Coturnix japonica: one gene and its partners. The protein of the gene in region 2 purifies or fractionates together with the protein of the main gene of each other region. This does not show direct contact. Links are inferred from orthologs where the notes say so. Each region holds a gene or a part of one and is shown on either strand. Other genes may lie near its edges.

What was found.
Region 1: the proteins of POP1 (region 2) and POP4 purify together in Homo sapiens (affinity purification with mass spectrometry; 5 studies listed by BioGRID and IntAct, counting the BioPlex papers as one, with this or other methods). This does not show direct contact. The link is inferred for Coturnix japonica from reciprocal best matches to the Homo sapiens genes POP1 and POP4.
Region 3: the proteins of POP1 (region 2) and RPP25 purify together in Homo sapiens (affinity purification with mass spectrometry; 3 studies listed by BioGRID and IntAct, counting the BioPlex papers as one, with this or other methods). This does not show direct contact. The link is inferred for Coturnix japonica from reciprocal best matches to the Homo sapiens genes POP1 and RPP25.
Region 4: the proteins of POP1 (region 2) and RPP38 purify together in Homo sapiens (affinity purification with mass spectrometry; 3 studies listed by BioGRID and IntAct, with this or other methods). This does not show direct contact. The link is inferred for Coturnix japonica from reciprocal best matches to the Homo sapiens genes POP1 and RPP38.
Region 5: the proteins of POP1 (region 2) and RPP30 purify together in Homo sapiens (affinity purification with mass spectrometry; 5 studies listed by BioGRID and IntAct, counting the BioPlex papers as one, with this or other methods). This does not show direct contact. The link is inferred for Coturnix japonica from reciprocal best matches to the Homo sapiens genes POP1 and RPP30.

What each region holds. Positions count from the first base shown.
Region 1 is NC_029526.1:7,094,793-7,098,869, reverse strand, and holds POP4 (ribonuclease P protein subunit p29), read right to left. Parts: upstream 2,813-4,077; 5' UTR 2,695-2,812; coding exon 2,688-2,694; intron 2,602-2,687; coding exon 2,549-2,601; intron 2,468-2,548; exon of another isoform or gene 2,447-2,467; coding exon 2,223-2,446; intron 1,776-2,222; coding exon 1,698-1,775; intron 1,496-1,697; coding exon 1,434-1,495; intron 1,150-1,433; coding exon 1,048-1,149; intron 584-1,047; coding exon 447-583; 3' UTR 202-446; downstream 1-201. UniProt on the Homo sapiens protein: Component of ribonuclease P, a ribonucleoprotein complex that generates mature tRNA molecules by cleaving their 5'-ends.
Region 2 is NC_029517.1:115,453,790-115,457,751, reverse strand, and holds the start of POP1 (ribonucleases P/MRP protein subunit POP1), read right to left. Parts: upstream 2,801-3,962; 5' UTR 2,664-2,800; coding exon 2,534-2,663; intron 1,741-2,533; coding exon 1,573-1,740; intron 731-1,572; coding exon 555-730; intron 1-554. Other genes in the region: RIDA (2-iminobutanoate/2-iminopropanoate deaminase), read left to right, coding at 2,912-2,976. UniProt on the Homo sapiens protein: Component of ribonuclease P, a ribonucleoprotein complex that generates mature tRNA molecules by cleaving their 5'-ends. Also a component of the MRP ribonuclease complex, which cleaves pre-rRNA sequences.
Region 3 is NC_029525.1:1,715,814-1,719,624, reverse strand, and holds RPP25 (ribonuclease P protein subunit p25), read right to left. Parts: upstream 2,335-3,811; 5' UTR 2,060-2,334; coding exon 1,448-2,059; 3' UTR 503-1,447; downstream 1-502. UniProt on the Homo sapiens protein: Component of ribonuclease P, a ribonucleoprotein complex that generates mature tRNA molecules by cleaving their 5'-ends. Also a component of the MRP ribonuclease complex, which cleaves pre-rRNA sequences.
Region 4 is NC_029517.1:18,769,238-18,773,399, reverse strand, and holds RPP38 (ribonuclease P protein subunit p38), read left to right. Parts: upstream 1-1,362; 5' UTR 1,363-1,612; coding exon 1,613-1,618; intron 1,619-2,797; coding exon 2,798-3,670; 3' UTR 3,671-3,846; downstream 3,847-4,162. Other genes in the region: ACBD7 (acyl-CoA-binding domain-containing protein 7), read right to left, coding at 1,017-1,028. UniProt on the Homo sapiens protein: Component of ribonuclease P, a ribonucleoprotein complex that generates mature tRNA molecules by cleaving their 5'-ends. Also a component of the MRP ribonuclease complex, which cleaves pre-rRNA sequences.
Region 5 is NC_029521.1:17,047,702-17,051,719, forward strand, and holds the start of RPP30 (ribonuclease P protein subunit p30), read left to right. Parts: upstream 1-1,209; 5' UTR 1,210-1,495; coding exon 1,496-1,577; intron 1,578-2,348; coding exon 2,349-2,404; intron 2,405-2,711; coding exon 2,712-2,768; intron 2,769-3,043; coding exon 3,044-3,118; intron 3,119-3,658; coding exon 3,659-3,730; intron 3,731-4,018. UniProt on the Homo sapiens protein: Component of ribonuclease P, a ribonucleoprotein complex that generates mature tRNA molecules by cleaving their 5'-ends. Also a component of the MRP ribonuclease complex, which cleaves pre-rRNA sequences.

The DNA of each region.
Region 1 (4,077 bases), on a different chromosome or scaffold from region 2:
AGTCTAGCATGGATACAAGCTGAACAGGCAGCAATGATTGATCCAGGAGCAATCACATAAAAGCAGTTACCAGCTGCAGTCTCCTTACACAGTGACAGGTGTTATTGCTGCCTTCTGAACGAAGCAGGCTCTGTAAGCAAGTTATAAGATAAAACATTCACTGAACAAATATACAGTCAAAATAGAAACAAAAACCAGGTAATCAGTACTAATCACAAGTTTAATAAAAGGCAGAACATTACACACAAGTAAAAGATACAACTAAGACTTCAGCAGTTTGACAGACTGCTTTAAAGATGAAACCAGTCATTCTTCAGTATGAAGAAACACTTCAGAAAAATCTCAGCTAGTTAACTCTGTCTTTCAGTCTGCCAGAAAACCTGTTTTGTAAACTGAAGGAGAACAGCAGACATCTTAATTAAACTTCCTTTTGATTTGCTATGAAATCATAGGTCAATAGTTCCTTTCAGCTTGAACTTCTTTGCAGACCGCTCACTTGCTCGAAGCTGGAACTTGCTTCCATAGATGTAGGAAATGAATCCATCAGTCTCCACACTGAATACGTTGTTAATTTTGGGAACAACTGAAAAATGGAGAAGTAGCATTATGCATAGATACTGGTGTACCAGGGAATACTATTCACATGCAGGCTTCAGGTTCATAACATGTCAAGGTTTAATGCTGCAGTGTGAGAAATACACTCAATACAGCCTGTACATTTAAGGGCAAAACTGACAGAATTCAGTCCTTGTTCACAAGTGTGCAGTAAGAGTTGCAGAGAACGATCTACAGTGAATCAGATGAATGAACCATGTGCATAATCATGTTATAAATCACTGGAAATATGTTTTTAAATTACTTCTAAGGTACATTATTGGGTTTTTACATGTCAGATAAAGACATGAACTTCTGCCACTATGCAAAGAATTACAAGCAGTGGTAAAGAACAATGTATGTATGTGCTCATACATTTACTCAGAAGTATAATAATATGATCGATTCTCAGTAACTCACATTATAACAAGCACTGAAAAACATTTGCCATACCTTTTAGTTTGTTGTCTTTAGTAATAATCTTGAAGACATGTTTGAATTCCTGTAGGATTATTCCCGTTATCCCAACATAAGATGGACACTTTGATTTTGTGACTGAAAGAACAAGAATAGGAATGTGTTAGAATAAATTCAGGTGCAGCTGGTTTGCTGTTCCATTATTGCCTCATCATTTTAGAAGTCTGAGATAATAGTCTGAAGTAATTATAGTGATAACTGGTAGAGCAGTTGAAAAGTTAAGCAGCACTGGTAAATGGAGAAAGAATCCATCAACACAATTACATTATCCTAGAGTTGATACTGAAAGGAATTCAATGAGCACCTGAAACATAAGAAAGTACAGCAAATCTCAGATAACTGCAGAATAAAGCAAACAATACCTGTAACAACAGCTCCATGGAGGTCAGCTTTCAGCAGTTTGCTCTGCACCATCTGTGGTTGCCTTGAAGAAAAGGGTAGGATCAGAGAGGGGAAAAAAATACATGGAAAAGCATGTTTATAAGGTGTGACTGTGCCTATTGAAATACTGGTCAAAGCTTACAGAAATAGCATATATCCTTATTAAATAATTGACATTTAAGTTTAATCAAATTACTACTTGAAATGCCTTAAAAAATGGTGGTGGTTAGATTAGCTAAACTTACGCATCTGGTTTAAGTCCATAACACAGGTCTCTGATGTATTGCTTCCAGAGTTCATGTAGTGGTAGAAATAGTTCATATCTGCAGTTAGAAGGCAAATATTTTACAATAACTTAATTATATATATTATAATATATTATATTGTAGATTGTCTTAGTAAGCAGAGTTAAAACTAAGAATTACACATGTTATCAGCTGCACAGATCACTTAGTAAACCACTCCAAGTAAAGCTGAATATGCTCCGAACAAACCCAAGGGGAGGGATGTGTTTAAGAGCTTTCTGCTCCTCTTTCTCCCCCTTGCTTCCTTTTAGGAGCAGCACTGGCCTTACTCAGCATGTCCTGGGTCAAGGAACATAATGCAAAATGGAGATTCACTGGTTGCAGCCATTCTGGGGATTAGAATTGAAGTCACAGGTGGCAGCACTTAGGAAAGAACTGGTCAGGGATGAGCTCATCCAACAGGCAGCCCAGGTTATAGCTGTGCTGTGGTTTAGTGCCACAGAGCACACAAACTCACTCTCATACCTCTGCTGCTCAGGCTCGATATCAAACAGCCCCAGCTCCCTCCTCTGTTTGGCTGTGAAGGTTTTTGTTTTCCTTCTCTTTGGCTTCTTCCTCCTCCTGCAGTGGTGCTCCAGAACCACGGCCTTCCGCGTTAGCACATCCTGGATGGCTTCGTCCTTCTTCTTGGGCATGCTGCGCTTCAGGAAGGCGCTCACAAACGCTCTGGCCTCCTCTGACCCTTGGGGCTAAAGGTGTTTAAAAACAGACTTTAATTAAATTAGAGCCCGGCTGCCCGCCGAGCTGAGGCAGCGCTGGGCAGAGGCTGTGGGGGTACATGGGAGCGGTACCTGTAGGCATAGCTCCTTCGCCGCCTCGCGGGGCAGCCCGCTGTACAACACACCTGCGGGCAGACAGCGGGCTCAGCCGGCCCTTCATCTACCTCCTCATCCTCATCCTCCTCCCGTCCCGTCCCATCCCTGTACTCACCCTCCATCTCGATGCTCCGGCGCAGCCGTGACGTGTGTGCGACCGGGGCGGGCCTGGCTGCATCCCCCCCTTCCCCTCCAGTGCGGCAGGTGGAGCTGCAGGACAGTGCCGCTCTATCAAGCGCTTCCCAACGCTCTGTGTGCCGGGGTGGGGGCTACGGAACCCGAGCTCAGCCCCCTGCAGCAGTAGGAACTTTGGGCCTGAGCATGGCAGTTTAGTACGAGGATACACATCCATGTGCACGCAGCATCTCCTGCTCTTCCGAGGGGTTCGCCCCTTCCAGCCCTGCTGCACTCCCACACCTCTTGGCACAGAGGTGCTCTGGAAACAGTACCACAAGTTCCTCAGCTTAGCAAGTCCAAGCTCACATTAAAATAGAGGTGTTTGTATTCCTATCACGGGGTGGGTATCAGCCACACGTGTAACTAAGTGCCCCCTGGGGAAGGAGGCTGACAGAGCTGCCATGACAGAGCATAGGAAATGTGAGCATTGTGTTGAGTGCTGCTGTGGAGCACAGAGGTACTAAAGCAGTGTGTAACAAGGGACAAAACTGCAGATAAATGTGTATTTGTAGAGAAAAAAAGGCCAGTCCCTTCAGATTAATAAGCACAAGCACTGGTTGGTTTGTGTAACAACCAGAAAGATCAATGTGATGGAAAGGTGATACAAGAGCTGTAATAATAAAGGGACTAATACAACAGAATGGTGTTAAAAAGGAAGGATAAAGGTCTGCTCACCCATCTCTGAAGATTAAGGTCACAGGCTTCACCAAGGAGGGATCTCCAACCAGAGAACCTTCCCTGGTGGCAGTCAGCCCTTAAATGAGGTGTAAGAGGTGCAGCCAGGCTCCACCCTTCCACTCACAAAGAGAATTGCCTCCACTTGTGCTCTCAGGGCTGAGCAGGTCCTTTCTCAGGTGCCCAGTGATTCAGGCTGGGACTCAACAGTTCCCATACAGCGTGTATGAAAGGTCTCTTGGCAGTGTAGGATGTTGCCACAGCAAACAGGTGCCTTGTTTTTACAAAGCAGGGACTCCTTGAGTTGTCATTGCTATTTAAGAAAAGATCAGTTTTCATGAATGGAGTGCCAGGATGAACGCTATGGGTCTTCAGGGCCGTATGAGTGCTCCTTGGCTGGATTTATGCTGCAGTTCCTAAGGCACTTAAGGGATTAATAGTCAAATCGGTGTTGGTGATGCCAGTGTAGTAAATCCAATGATCCAGGCTAAACAGGTGCCTGGGGAAGCCAGTCTCTTCCAACAGCTCTACATCTTCATTTCCCAATCTATCTTCAGAGACAGTGTCTGATAGAGCTGGGTCAGCTTGTTAGTGTGTGTTCCAGGGAAAGGGCTCTGAGCTGGGAGTGGGACTCAATCAAATAAACATGAAAA
Region 2 (3,962 bases):
CCACAGCAAGTAAGGAATAAGTAAATTTATAAGAGCATCCCGACTAAATGTTAAGACACTACTCCAAAATGAGCTTCACGACCAGGAATGGTCTCAAGCTGCATGCAACCTGTCTACTGCTCCACTGTGCTGACCCTGTCTGAGCTATACTGTGCCAGTTATGAACAAGTTGTGCTGGCTTCAGTTGTGCAAAGTCACAGCTCAAAGCAGTGGTGAGCTGCAAGATAGGCAGGTGTTACTGAAGAGTCCTACATCACCTGAGACCTTGATATACCACCCAAAACAAACAGTCCTGCAGTAGGGGGTTTTATCATCATGACTCCAGTAACTTCTCAAGACATAGAACAACGATGAATCCAAGACATTATTGACAATTACACTGAGATCTACTAAAATGTAGGTTTTGCATCCAAATGTCAGCCCAAGCTTGTCAGCCTTTGTATATAAGGAAGCTTTGCAGGCAAGCTCAGCTGTGAACTGTAATAAACGTACAGCACCGCACAATAGTTACATCCACTATACACCTCATCAAATACTATAAACTACACGTATACCTCTTTTCTGGCAATCTCTTGCAGCCGCCTGGGTAGGCGCTTAATATTGTGACTCATAGCTCGCCTTCGCATGCTCCTGGGCAGAGTCTGGAACACTAGAGAGTTGGAAGACTTCTGCGCAACTGCTTTCAGCATGGCTTTGAGCTCAGCAGCACGAGCTTCAGCAAAGGTAGACACTGGAATGAAAAGAACTCCATCAGAACATGGCAAATGGCAAAGATAAAAGGAAAGGGACAACGTACATAGGTTAGTGAACTCCAGCAGAGTATTCCTAGTACACCAGTCTACTGACTTCATGAGATAAAACAAAAATATCCTCTACTGTCTATTACAGAAGTAATTTCTATTCTTCAAATATCCTCACCAATATGTTTAGGCAAATACTGAGAGCTGAGGTATAAGCAACATGTTCTATTTGCACAAAGTACTTCTTTACTATGGCAGCCATGTTTTCATGTATTATTCAGACAGATGGAAAAACTTAATCATGGAAAAAAAAGCAGGAAGCAATGATCAGACTGCAAACTGTTTTAAGATGATCAAATCAAGGAGTCAGAGGTTGATTTCGTTTAATGCTTATGGAAGTGTATTCATTATCATAGCACCACCATAATTTGAAAAACTAATTTGTCTCTTTGCTTTCCTAAACAAACGTTCTGTTAAAAGTTTCTTTAACTCACAACATGAGCATAAACAGTTCCACTGACTACATTGAAAACAGATGGCTGTCAGTATTCATTTTCCTGGTAAACCGTGATCCAAATGCATGCCCTCGTTATAAGGAGTGCAATTTTTCAACTCAGAAGTCTGAAAGGACTCACTGAACAACAGCTGGTAATTCATTTCAGTAAACAAACTTTTCTGTATTTTGGAGAAAATCAGGAAAAACAAAAGACAATACACATGTTGACCAAAACATCCGTTCTGACTTTTGCTATTGTGCAAAATCTAAGACAGACAACAAGCAACTTCTAGCAAGCTGCCCTGGAAACTCTGACCTTCTCTTATACATACAAACCTGTTATGTATCTAGGCATTTCCTCTGAAGAATTCTGATGTTCTCCTTGCCATCCTCCTCTTCCTCTGCCTCTTGAGTCTCCTCTATTTTGTTCTTTCCTGTAGGGAGGCCCAGGTGACTGATGCAAAAATTTCTTCTGTTGATACTGCTGCTCAGAACGAACATCTCCTAAAAGGTTTAGAAATGAACACAGATAACAGAAATACAAAGTCATCCAGGAATGGATCAATGAAGCCCAAAGGGAAAGATATAAACCTGATATAAACCTGATATAAACACGCAATAAAGCATCTAAATAGGAGGGGGAACAGCTGTTTACAAGGGTGAATAGTGATAGAACAAGGGGGAATGGCTTTAAACTGTGACAGGGGAGGTTTAGGTCACATAAAGGAGGAAGTTTTTCACACATCGGGTGGTGACGCACTTGAACAGGTTGCCCAAGGAGGCTGTGGATGCCCCATCCCTGCAGGCATTCAAGGCCAGGCTGGATGTAGCTCTGGGCAGCCTGGTCTGGTGGCTGGTGACCCTGCACAGAACAGGGGGTTGTAACTGGATGATCATTGTGGTCCTTTTCAACCCAAGCTGTTATGTGATTCTGTGATCAAAATCAGCCCACGTGACTGCCATCAGTGACAGTGCCAACAGTAACTTACTGTTGTTTAGTCAGCAAAAGTTTCCCCTCTTATTTTTTTTCCCCGTAAGTTTAGCTATTTTTGTCCTTTTATCCTCAGTAAGACACACGCATTTCTTTTGCAGCAATAAAGCAAGCACGGCACACATATGTTGCTGCAGTAAGTTACAGTACATCGTTAGACACTGTCCTGCGTGACATCCCAGACGCAACAGAGGATAACAGCGGGATGTGCTGGATGTCCCGCTGTCTGGATACGGAGCTGGCTGGGCGGTCACACTTAGTGAGTGCGACCGGGGGTGAGTCATGCCGGGGGGATGCAGGCCGTACCTGGAGCCGAGCAGGCCCTGCTGCTGCTGCTGCCGCCTCCTGTAAAGGACGCCGGCTCAGCCGGGAGCGTGACGCTGGCCGGCTGGTTCCTCATCTTCCTGGCCCGCTTCTTCTCCCTCGCCGTAGACATCTCGGCTCGACACGGAGCTCACAGCTCTCCTGCTGTCGCTCCGACGGGCCTAAAGCGCAGCAGAGCAGCCAACCTCCTCCTGAACACGGCTGCCCGCCGCCGCCATCTTGGCTACACGAGGCCTCCCGAGCCCCTACAGCGCATGCGCACAGCGCAGCCACACGCAGTAGGTGTGGGGGGCGGGCGGGGGAGGGTTTTTAGGCGGGCGCTGAGGGACAGTGAGTTGGTCTGTGAGGGTGATTGTCGCCATGGCTGCTGTGGTAAGGAAGATCATCAGCACTGCTAAGGCTCCTACGCCGCTGGGTTCATACAGGTACGGCTCGTAGGGGAGGATTGTTGGAGGTTTATTGTTCCGTGTGGTAACGGGGGGGTTTGTATGTTTAATGAAGGGTGGTGGGCTGCTGTGTAAGCTCTGGGGGTCACCACAGTGCTGTCTGGGGGTTCTTAATAACGGGATTAAGCTGCGTTTTCCTGTTATAAACGCAGTTCCCTCAGGTTTCGACTTGTCCACCTGTGGCACTTTGGAGCTTTACTAAAGCTTTGTTGTCCCTGTGGATTTGATATGGTTGCAGCCAGAGCTTGGCATTGCCTGTGGGTAGGAGAGCACCTGAGGTGTGGAAAGTGAGGGTTCTTCAGCACCAAATGGTTTAGTCTTTACATAGCCTTCTGCTATAGATTAACTGTGCTCCCATGTCCTGTGCTGGCTGGTAGTTGTTAATGGAATGCTGCTTATTGTGCAGCATGTTGTTGAACTTGCAGGGCCAACACCAACTGAGTTAGTGGTGAACTTAGTGGTCATGTTCCAGTGCACTTTCAAAGTCCACTGAACAAATAATTGCGTAAGAAATAACTGCTCCATCTCAGTTCTGAGCATAGAGCTCAATCAGGGCTTCATATGGATGGGAGGATTAGCATAGAAGGGTCGTATTCCTGGTTCTGCTACAGTCCTGTGTGCAATTTGCACCATACTTTGTACCTCCTTTACTAAACTCCTCTAATTTCCAGTGATTTCATGTGTGTGTATGCACAGAGATGCTGTACTTGTGGTAGTAACTCTGTATAAAGCAAGTCTGATTAACTTTTCCCACTTGTCATCATTGAAGAGCATGTTTCTTGATGCCATTTGTCTGAGGGTTATGGTGTTGTTTTGGCCAAGGTCATAATGTCTATATAGCTTTGCACTCAAGTGTACTGAGATATGGATGATGTGTGGCATGCACTTAACTACTCCTTATGATTCCAGCAGAGATGCACAGTTGACCCTTGTTACAGGACGCATCTGCAGTTAAAGTTTGATCA
Region 3 (3,811 bases), on a different chromosome or scaffold from region 2:
ACCCCCCTTTACTCCCCCTTCCTCTTCTTTCTCGCTCCCCTGGTCTCCTTCCATTCCCTCTCCCAGCCAAACAAAGCACTTTCCAAGCCAGCCTTTGGCAAAGCAGTGATGTCCGCTGACTCCATCCCAAGGCTGCGTTGTCTGGAGCCAACTGAATCTGTCCTGCTTGGGCAGGGGACCCAGGTGGATTTGGGTTCAGTTGGCCTCCCACAACCCATCTCTGCATTGCTTTGGTCCCCACGTGATGGCAAGGGGCTGACGTGGGGCAGATGGAGCTCCATGGGGGGCTTTGCCATGTCAGCTGGGGCCAGATGACTGCCAGGGCATGCAAAGAAGCTGGCCCTGATTCCTCATCCCCAAGAGGCAGGATTTGGCCAGGATCCCCTTGTTCTGCCTCAGCAGCAGCCACAGTCTCGCCCTCACTGTACCCATCTGTGCCATGGTCAGTGGCAAAGACGACCCCCACCCTCACCCCCCCCATTTCCCCATAGACATACTTCAATTATTTCTAAAGAGCTTTTATTTTCCATTGGTTTCCTTTTACCCATAGAAAAAGCGGGTGTTTCACTCCAAAGGGCTATTCTGGGGAGCCAGCCCATAGCGAATAATCCGCAGCCAAACCTACAAAGTTCCTCTTCATCCCAGCATCTGTCCATCAGCTTGTAGATGATCCACCTGATGCTCCCTGTTGTCTTCGTCATCATGCTTTCACCATGGCTGCAAACACCTCCGGGAGAGGAAAAACTTGAATATATGATGTGGGAAGAGGGGTTATTTCCATTCCTGTTCACTGGAGGGGCTGCTATTGAAATGAACAGCAGTGCTCCAGGGCTTGTTTCTTTGGCTCTCAGGCTGCAGCAGTTCTGAGAGAGGAAGGATCAGCTTGGGGTATTTCAGAGCAAAGCACAAAATAGCAACGATGCCACAGAGGAGAGGAAGGAGCAGAGACAAAGCAGGGAGCTGGGTGAGAGGGAGCAGGACCCATCTGCTTGTTTGTGCTATTCAGGATGAATCACAGGAGCCACGAGGCACGGAGCCCAGCATTAATAAACCTGACAGCTCCTCTCGGGGGTTAATTGCAATGAAGGTGTTACTCTGATGGGCTCTTTGCAGCTGGCTGAGACATCCCGATGCAGAGCGGAGGCATGCAGCTGCATTTCCCAATCTGGGGAGAATCCAAAGGATGCTTCAGCTCTATGGGAGTCCTGGAGGTCTGCTGTGCAGGGGGCTATTTAGCAGGGCTGACAGGAGGCACGAGTAGCTCCGCATCCCTACAAGTGCTCGCAGCACCAGGCAAAAGGGAGGAAAAGTTTGGAGAGGGGAGGTTTTCCCACAGACCTACACACTGCAGCCGCCCTTCATAAAATGGGGAGCCAGTGGGATACAAGGATGTGTTCTGCGTGGGGTCAGTAGCCCCCCCAGACCCTGCTGTGAGCATGTCATAGGGTCAGTAGTGGCCGTCCATCTGGCTGTCTGTTGTCCCCGAGCCCTGCGGGCTGCTGGCTCCCGCTACCTGCAGCTTCTTGGGCAGCAGTTCCTCACGGGCAGGCGGTGGGGGCCGCTTCAGCCCCTTGGCCGAGGAGCTCGTGGGGTCTTCTCCTGCCTCTCTGGGCTCAGGGGGTTGGTAGCCCGTCTGGTTGGGGTCCAGGGGGTCACGGGAGAGCAGGATGCAGATGGAAGGGACGTTCTTATGGACGGTCAGATTCTGTGCTGCAGTGCCAGGCAGCGGGTCCTGGTTCTCCCAGACCTCCAGCAAGGTTTTGTAGCGTACCTTGGTGACCTGGTGCAGACCCCCCAGCTTTCTCTTCATGATCTCCACGCAGGTGATGGTCTTGGTGACCGCTCTGCCGCAGCCGCTGAAGACAATCTGCCTGCTGCCCTTCAGCTCCATCTGAGCCATGGCGAAGCTCATCAGGTTCCTGATCTTGCTGCCCTCCTTCACTTTCATCTCCACCACACCTGGGGGTAAGTCAGGGAAGGGCAAGGGGCTGTCCTCCTCTGACGTCCTGACCTTTCGGAAGTTCTCCATCCTACACTGGGCAATGGGCTTGGCCGCCATCCCTCACCCCACACTTAGCCCCCGCTGCCTTCCTCCAGCTCCAACGTCACGTCCCCAGGACCCCCAGCCCCTTCCCCTCTCCTCGTCCTGGTGCTGGCTGTCCCCAGGGGAGGCCAGAGCTGTAGGATCCCCTGGGTGCCCCCGTTCGCTGCTGGCTGCAGCTCTCGGCAGTGCTCAGGCTCCTCTGTTCCCTCTGCAGCGCTTGCTTCTGCCGCTCTTTGCTTCATTCTGGACTTCAGCAGCCCCCAGAGCTGTTCTGTGTAATTAGCAGATCCTCCCCCTCTCCCTCCCCTCCCTCCCCTCCTTCTCCTCCTCCTCCTCCCCTCGCTCAGCCTCCCATCCCAGCACCCTGCTGCTGCTTCCATCCCTGGGTGGGCAGAGGGAGAAGCTCTCTCCTGGCTTTGTGATGCTCCCCAAGTCCTGCCCCCTTAAAGAGAACCTCGTCCCTTCTCTCAAGGACACCAAGCCGCCCGCAAACAGCAGCAGTTGTCCCCTGCTCCCCCCGCCCCAGCCTCCGGATCATTGCACAGTGGAAAGAGATGCCGAGTATTGCCTTGCTGCCAAATCTTATCGGCCTCTGGAGGACCTGGGATTATTTTCACCCCGAATAGGGCTTGCAAAATCCATAAATAAATGAATGGATCGGCCAGCCCCATCCCCGCTGCCCCAATGCAGCAAGAGTGGGTACCACTGTTGGGACAACCCCAAGAGGAGAAACTGAGGCAGAGCCAATGGCGTGGCTGAAACAGATTAAAGCCTCTGTGGCAAAACACTGCTTCTGAAAGATGCTAAAGCCCCTAGGAAAATAACAAGGAAGGATTTCAACAACCATTCACACAGCAGGGAGGAAAACTGCGCTGTGGGATCAAATCCTGCCACCCGTGGTCCATTTTATCGCAGCGTTCTGCGGCACTTAAAATGGAAATGAATCGTGTTATTAGCAGCTCCATCGCTAATTACCATCTGAAGCCATTCATTACCCTGTCACTGTGTGTTTGCTGGAGGACAACAGCAGTTATTCCAAGCTGAGGAGCAGCAGGATGGGAAAGGGACAAAAGGAGGGCTGAGGGGATAAAAGCACTACATGAAAAGTACAGGGAATCGGTTAAAACAGGAGAGAGAGATGGTGAAAGCTGGAGCAGCAGTAACGTGAGCCCCTGCCCTCCACCTGCCCTCGCTATATTTTCTTTCATCTGCTGAATGTGGGAGCAGTTCGGAAAGTTGAAGCATGCGATATGAGGAAAGTCTCCGTCCATCTCTGCGTCACATCGGGGTGGCTCAGGTCTCAGGTGCTCGTCACATTGCACGTGGGACAGCACCTATAACAGTGACATCCCTAAGCGAGACACTATGCATCTGGCTCCCCACTGAAACCCCTTTGTAAAGCCATAACACAACGAGCAAGAGGAATAATTGAGGGACCCCAGCCCCACAACCTTTGTATGGTCCCAAAGCCCTGTGTAAGCTCATATTTACAGCTTTCAGCTCTAATTTGGGATCTATTGTGAGCTGGTCTCCCATTTAGGGATAGCTAAGCTTGTTTCTGGTGCTACTCATATGGACCTCAATCTACGGGTTGACTGGAGAGCTGCTTAGCTATTGCTGGTCCTGGCTGCTGGGCTTACTTCATGGCTTGACCTTGAGAGTGTGGATCTACTAGAGATGTGCCAGTTGATCTGGGGTCTTGGTTGGGCTTGACCACTATCCTCAGCTCAGGTATGAATCTCTGGGTCATGGCTGGGCTGTCCCCCT
Region 4 (4,162 bases), about 97 Mb from region 2:
ATTTCCACCTCAAACATTCTTTTCTTCATCTCCCTCAATCCAACCCTTGTGCGCGGATTTTGCTTAGGATTTGCTTGCTTACACAACACGCTTAGGAGCAGCTGCAGAATATAATATCCTTTAATCACGAGCTGATGGAATTTCCCTCTCACTCCTCAAATCAAAAGCAGAAGCGTGTCTACAGTTGACATATACATATGCAGACGTAGATTTACACACGTGCATTAAAGCTAAATGCAGAAATCACAGAATCACAGAATGACCCGGGTTGGAAGGGACCTCAAGGATCATGTAGTTCCAACCCCCCTGCCTGGCAGGGCCACCAAACATACACCTTTACTAGATCAGGTTGCCCAGGGCCCTGTCCAACCTGGTCTTGAACACCTCCAAGGACGGGGCATCCACAACCTCCCAGTCACCAGACTTTATTTTCTAGCAGGAATTCGAGGCAGAACACAGCAAAATTAAACAAAAGCTGCTGTTCCGCTCGGGACTTGGCAGCCCCGGCCCATGGAGGGCGCGGGGTCAGCAGAACAACGAACCCTCTGTGCTGCGGCTCCAAGCGCTGAGCTGCGGCCAACGCGCCCCGCGACGGGGCCTCGCATACACGGAGCGAGGCGAGGCAGCATGGAAACGAAGGCAACAGAAAGGGCTGGAGGGTCTTAAAGCCAAAGGGAGAACGGAAAACCCCTTAAACAGCCGAACCAGTCCTGGGCATTTAAAGGTGGCGCAGAGGCGGAGCGCTGGAAGGCAGCGACGAAGGTGATTTCTCCAGGAGCCGCCGATACGGACAGAGGGAGGCAGCGTCCTTCCTGCCAAACCTCACTCAAAACGCAGCGCCCCAAAGACACGCACGCTCTACAAACTCCCTTAGAAACGCACGTTTCCCACAGACGCCCGTAGCGCAGCTCCCATCGATAACCCACCCGAGCAGCGGGTGCCGACACACCGCGCGGACACACCGTAACGCGCCGCTCCGCACCCCGAGCCGCAGTGCCACCGCCCGCCCCGCTCACCTGCAGGGCCATGGCCGGGCGGACACGCGCGGTCCGGTGTCGCTCCCGCAGCGCGATGCAGAGCGGGCAGCCGCCTCCCCTCGGGTCCCGCTGCCGTCACGGGGCGCTGAGCCGCTCGGGGCCGGGTTGGACGGGCCGTGGGCCAGCTGTGCTGGTGGGGGGCGGCCCTGCCCCTGGGGGTGGGGGGGCTCTGACGCCTCCTCCAACCCAAAGCATCCCGCAGCCCCGAGCCATCCGCATCACCGCCTCGCAGAGATGCGCTACAGCACCGTGACAGGATCCGAAGGGGCAGCAGCTCCCTCGCACCGCGGCTGCCCCCGCCCGGCGGCCCCGCAGCACGGCGGCGGATGGGGCGGAGCGGGACGGGGCGGGTTCGAGCTGCCGGCGTGGATCGGGCGGTACTGGCGGTGCCGGAGCGCTGGGCCCGGTGGTAGCGCGGCGTGGAGGCCGCGCTGAGCCGAGCGGCAGCTCCATCTCCATCTCCGTCCGTCCGGCCTGTTGTCAGGGCGCTGTGGTGGCTCCTGCCTTTAACTGCGTTGTCCTGGTCGGGAGCCGGCGGGGCCTTCCACGAGGCGTTTGGAAACCGGAGTGTTGGAATGGAGGTAAATGTTGGAATTGTTCGCGTTTCTCAGCTCCTCTGCTGGCAGCGGCGGGTCCTGCGGCTGATCGGCCTGGAAGAAGTTGGGTTTTGCTTGTTGTGCCCCGTCAGTTTGATTCCTGTGCCTACACGATTGTTTTCCTCAGTAGCCTCCATCTTGAAAAGACAGACGCGGGCTGCTTCAGCGTGTGCTCTCACATACACAACATACACAACAAAGGTGTTCTTTTAAAACCAAGGTAGTCTGTTATCAGCATGCAGGGAATTGATGTGATATAAATGGTGCCTTATAAATATCTAAAGGTTGCCACTGAAGTAATGTTTGTAATATTTCTACTTATGGAAGGAGGGGATCTAAGGAGAGCCGTGTCTGTTCCTCCTGAGTTGGCACACAAGTTCTCATCACGTTCTGTTGGCTGTGCAATGTAAAGCAGGAGATGCTGAACAGTAACCCAGGTTTGAGTATGGGGACTTAGTGAGTGGGCAGGGCTGGTAATCAGAGCATGCCTTCACTTGGACTGGATAGAGCAGAACTGGAACAGTGACCCTTTCTTTGCACCACTTTGATTTTTTCATAACCCTAAAGGCACGGCCTAGTTGATGCAGGAGTCAAAGAACCCTTCTGAATGTTCCATGGCCTGCAGAGGATTGCTTTCCTCCACAGAAATGTGCTCTGCAGCCTTCTGTCATACCTTCTAAATGCAGATAAATGTAAGACATAGATAAGTGAGAAAAAACACATGAAAATTAAAAAAACCCACAACTTTATCCCAAATGAATTCAGGAACTTGGAGATTGTTTCATGCTGCGATTCTGCAGCTTTATCACATCAGGATAGTTCTAAAATGGAGCTGTGCAGCAATGAAAACTTGTCTTTCACAACCTGAGCTTTATTATTAACATTATCTGTGGGACTTCCTGCTACTTCCATTCAGTTTCAGCTTCAGAAAGGTTTCCCATCACTGGCATTGCCTTGCTGGAAAAAAGCAAGCAACCTGTGCCCTGCTGGAGGATTATTAAGCACTGATATATATATAGCACTGAGCTGCTATAAAGGTGATTCCTGCCAGTATTGCTTTGAGCTGCTTTTTTCCCCCATTCCCAAGAGGAGCCTCTTGTAACAAAGTCCACAGCAGACAGTGCAGGATTTGAACGACTCTCTGCCTTTTTCTTCCCTCCACAGCTAGGTGGCGAAACAGAACAGAACCTGAGGACGCCTGTCATTCCACAAGGGACGGCGTCGCTTCGTAAAGCAAAGAAAACCACTGTAAAAACGTGTCTAGATAACCCCTTTGTTTTCGAATGGAAAGCCATAGATGGAGATGGTATGCATTTCATATTGCAGACCTTAGAAGAAAAGATTAAACGTATCGGACTTAAAAAGATAGAGACTCCAAGAAAGAAAAAACGTTCTACAAAAAACCAAGTGGAAAGCAAGTGTGATGGTAGCAACAGCGAACTCCCTGCTGAAAAAGAAACTGAAGGCCATCGACAAGCACTGGGATGGACTGACGTGGGCATCAGGAGGCAGCTTGCTATTGGAATTAATGAAGTTACAAAAGCGTTGGAGAAAAACGAGCTGCTTCTCTTGTTGGTGTGCAAATCTGCCAAACCTGCCATGATCACATCCCATCTCATCCAGCTGAGCGCGAGTCGAGCCACGCCAGCAGGCCAGGTTCCCCGCCTCAGTGAAACGGTAGCACCGCTTCTTGGCTTAACATCCATTTTAGCGCTCGGCTTCAAAAGGCAGTCTGATAAGTTCACTGACGTAGTAGAAGCGATAATTCCAAAGATACCTGCTTTGGAAGTGCCGTGGTTTCAGTTCCAAACAGAAGGATCTGCTGCATGTGCGGAGTTGTCAGAAATTGATGAAGCTGAGCAGCTTGCAGAGACGCCGGAGGAGGAGCTCTCAAGCCAGAAGCGGAAGCGTTCAGAAAGCAATCAGCTCCATCTCTCACATGTAATTTTGCAGCCTTTGAAAATCAAGAAAGTTGTTCCAAATCCAAATAAGATAAAGAAGCCACCTCGCAGAAAGAAAAAAGCTTTTTCAGCATGACTGATTTTAGTTCAGTTCTTCAGAGCACTGTGATTGTTTTTTACTGCCTATGGAGTACAGCTGTAACTGAACTACTTTGTTCTGCTTTAGCAGTGTAAAGCAGTTAACTCAGGTTAACTCATGTATGATGCATCCAGGTGAGGTTCTGTCTGCTTTAATAAAGAATGTGGCTCCAAGTTGTGTGTGAGCCTCTATCTGGAGATAAATATTTCATTTGCAGTTGGAGATCACAAAGTTGAGACTGTTAATGAACGTCTTGAAGTAATGTGAGGATAACAAGCGCATCTTTAGAATTAATACTAAGTGCTAAGCAAACTTTGTATGTTTTTTTTACATGTGAACATGCTTTAGACAGAACTGATTGAAATTAATGTCATTACACATAAAAAAAAAATAATACCAAAACTGAAAGTTTATTTAAACAAGGTCCATGCCAGTATAACTTTTAAAGCTGGTTCAATGCTTGTTTCAAGTAAACAGCTGTAACAGCAC
Region 5 (4,018 bases), on a different chromosome or scaffold from region 2:
ACACTTGAAATAATGCTTTGAGTTCTCCCATGTCCACACACTTCACAGAAAAGCCTTAAGAAGACCATTTGATTTGGGCTGTGTGTTCAGATATTTGGCAGAGAAGCAGCACTGGCTATTCCAATAGGAAACATGTTAAGGGCACAGATAGGCCAAAGCAGAATTTGCTGAAACATAGGAAACGTAGGAGGAAGGAACATCTTCCAGGGAGACCTGGATAGGCTTGAAAAATGGACCCACAAAAACCTAGTGAGGTTCAGCACAGCCAAATTCAAGGTGTTGTATTTGAGCTGGGGCAACCCCAGACATTCAGACTGGGAGAAAAACTCACTGAGAGCAGCCCTGCTGAGGAAGACTTGGAGACTTGATGGACAAAAAGTTGGATATGAGCCAGCAGTGTGCACTTGCAGCCCATAGAGCAACTGTATTCTGGGCTGCATCAACAGAGGGGTGGCAGCATGAAGAGGGAGGTGACTGTTTCACTCTGTACTGTCCTTGTGAGCCCCCACCTGGAGCACAGTGTCCAAGCCTGGGGCTCCCAGCACAGGAGTGATATGGAGCTGTTGTGATGGGTCACAAGGATGGCCACGAAGGTGCTCAGAGAGCTGGAGTACTTCCCTGGAGATAGGTTTGTTCAATCTGGGGAAGGCACCAGGGAGATCTCGTTGCAGCCTTTCTGTGTTTAAAGGGAGCTTATAAACTCTTCGGCCTCAGTGTGCCAAGGAGCAGTGCTGTGGGCAGGGACGTGCCTGGGAGCTGTGGGCATTGCTGGAGCAATTCTGCCTGGTTAAGGGTTTAGCATTCCAAATAACCCACTGAACCTCCAGGCTCAAGGAAGTGGAAGCAGAGGGCTTGTGAGGCCTCCCAATACCACCTTGATGATGTGAAGAAATCACAGCCTTGCTTGTTTTAGCAGCTGCTGTAACTGTCCCAAACAGCAACAAAAGTGGTCATTACCACCTGTATTTCACATATGTGCTGATTAGCAGCAATAAAATGGGTGGGTTTTTCAACAGTGCTACAGAGTCAAAGCATGTTTGATTTGTGGTCTCCTGGAATTGTTCATCTCTTTTGCATTTTAGGGAATATCTCTAGAGAAGCTGGGACTAATCAACCTAGGATTTTATTTCACATTTTTTAGTTAACGCAGGAAAACGATGGCCTTAACTAGGAACGGTTCCACCCCCCCTCGGGCCATACAGTAGCTGCGCTCGGTGGGAGGCGATCCGGCCGCTAAGAGGAGCAGAAGCGCATCTCCCCCTGCTGGGCAGCGCACACACCCCGAGCTCCCGACTGCTCCGCTCGCAGCACAGCCCCCCACGGACACGTTCAGGAGCGCATAAAAGCTCGCACGCTCCATCACCCAGAGCTCCGCCTGCTGGTCCAGAGCCCATCCCGCTCCTCGTAGCAGGACTACCAGCCCCAGGTTGCTCCGGGCCGCCGGGGGCGGTGCCGGCTGCGCTCACAGCCTTCGTTCCGCCCCGTGCTGCGCAGCATGGCCGGCTTCGCCGATCTGAACGTCCCGCAGGGCGCGGATAGGAAGGCCGTGCAGAGCGTGCTGGAGGCTGCGGCGAACCGTGAGTCGGGGCTGGGAGCGGGTGGATGTGTTGTTGAGGATGGGGTGGCTGTGCTGGAAGGCGGCGCTGGCTGAGGGCTGCAGCAGCGGCGTGAAGGATGGAGAAGCGGGGCTGGACGGGGCGGAAGCTCCATGCGCCGGTCCTGCCCTGCCCAGCGAGGGCACGGGGTCTGTGCTGTGCCTGAACAGCGCTGTTATTATCTCCGGTTACTCTCCAACCTCTGCAGAGAACTTGTTCCAGGGTTACTGATCTTCAGCACAGGCTTTATGGCTTTCTCTAGTCCTGTCCACCACGGCAGTCTTTCTGTTTGTATCACCCTTCAATCGTGGTCACATCTCCCCTCATAATGCATCTTCCAGTCCGCTGCTGCAAGGCGCAGCCTTCGTGTCGATGCAGAGCCGGGACCTGGCAGCCTGTGGCTTACCCCACTACCCCAGGCTCACAGCCACACCTCAGCCTGCCCTGCTGTACCCATTAGGTAACCGTGCATCTCTGTGCGTACCCCAGCACTGGCCGTGCACAGTCCCTTGTCCTTGTTACTGTCAGTCAGTGAGGATGTGTTGTAAAGGCTGGCTTGTGCTAAAAGAAAAAATTGTACTCTTAAGACACATCTTTGAGTTAACATTGAGCAAAATTCACTGTGAAAGGTAAATGTGCACATCGTTATTGATTTTGAGATATTTAAATAATGAGCATGTGACAGTTTTCTCCTTGTGTCTGTTTCCATTACTTGCTGATCAAAGCAGGCTCACAATGTGTTTTCTTTTTTAGTGGGATATTCTGCAGTTGCTCTTAATCACGTCATCGATTTTAAAGAAAAGAAACAGGTAATTTCAGTTCAGCTTCTTTGTTGGTGATGTGTTTGCTCTCGTAAATCTCTGTGCCACTCCTCTATCCTTTGTTTTTACGCACTCACCTAAATGAAGGCATTTGTATTTATATTTATAACAGAACTCTGATTTTATAAGCCTGTATTACTGCCCTGGAGTTAATTTTTACTATGGTCTGTGAATTGTCCTTAGGAAATATTTTGTTAGTATGTTAAGCTTATTTTTGGAGTTGGAACACAACTTCTGTGTACATTCTAAACATCCCTGTTGTATTTTGGATAACTTTGTTTTGTTTTCTTTTAAGGAAATAGCCAAGCCGGTGTCTCCATCAGAGCTGTTTCCATCTTTGCCTATTGTGCAGGTGTGTTTATTACGTTCCATCTATGTGTTGTTACACTGAGCTGCAATTTTTCCTTTCAGTTTATCCACTCCTCAGAGAAACACAGTGAGCCCTTCTTTCTGAAGGGCAGTTACAATATATATGTTTTATATTAGGGAAGCATAACTACAGACTTCCAGAAAATTATTATAGGCAAGAATTGGTGCAAGGCACAACTTTCTTTTTATAGTAGGCAGGGTGAAGGTTGCCACAAAGTTTGTCAGCTTTTAAAATCTTATATTATTTTTCCATCATAGGGGACATCTAAAAGACTTAAAGTCTTAACCCGGCTGACACTTGTTGTTTCTGATCCTTCCCACTGTAATCTCTTGGTAAGTACATTCAGTGTATCTGCTTGTTTGTTTGTTTGTTTTAATTTAATTTTCTCAACGAAAGAATGACACTTTGGGAGTTGTGTATTGGATTTAATGGATTTCATAGGATACTCAGTACTGATTTCTCAGACCAGATCTTTAGAATCTGAAGCATCATGACCCCTCACGCAAGTGTCTGTGAAACAGAACGTGATTGTGCTGATCGCTTATTAGTATGGGGTAGCAGTTCTGTTCCTTTATTCTTTTATTTGAATTCTGGACTTCCATGTGTACACTAGAATACCAGGAGGGAGACCAGTGTGTGTTTGTGGAGCTGTGTGCTTGAGACAAAAGGTATGTGAGTGGATGGGACAAGCCTCAAAATGACCTCAGAGAATTGCTCACAGTAGAGACCTACTATTTAATTAGATTATCGTCTTTGTTTTGGTGCTTGAAAATGGTGAGGAAATTTTCTCATTATTATTTTGGTTATAATCATTGTGTGTATGCTTGTCACCTGCCAGAAGTCAAGGTAGTAATTATTTCCTCCTTTTGTAGAGATCTACATCTGCAAATATAAGATTGTATGACATCATAGCTGTATTTCCAAAGACGGAGAAATTGTTCCATGTAAGTACTATCTGTGAGTTGTCATAGAGCTGGCACTAACCATCAGTGTCTTGGAGTGCTTTGAGTGCATGCTTTGTTTTGTTTTCCATTCTATATAGCCATGTCATGGGGCTAATTAAACAATGTAGGTTCTCTGGTCAGCAGCAGGCAGACTAAAAGATTGGGAGAAATCCTAGAAGGGTAAAGGGCCTTGATGTGATCAGTTGGTCCTAAACGTCTGCAAGTGGTCTGACTGACTTGCTTTCAAATGCTCAGCTCAACTTCTTGTCAAAATGCTTTCATTGCAAA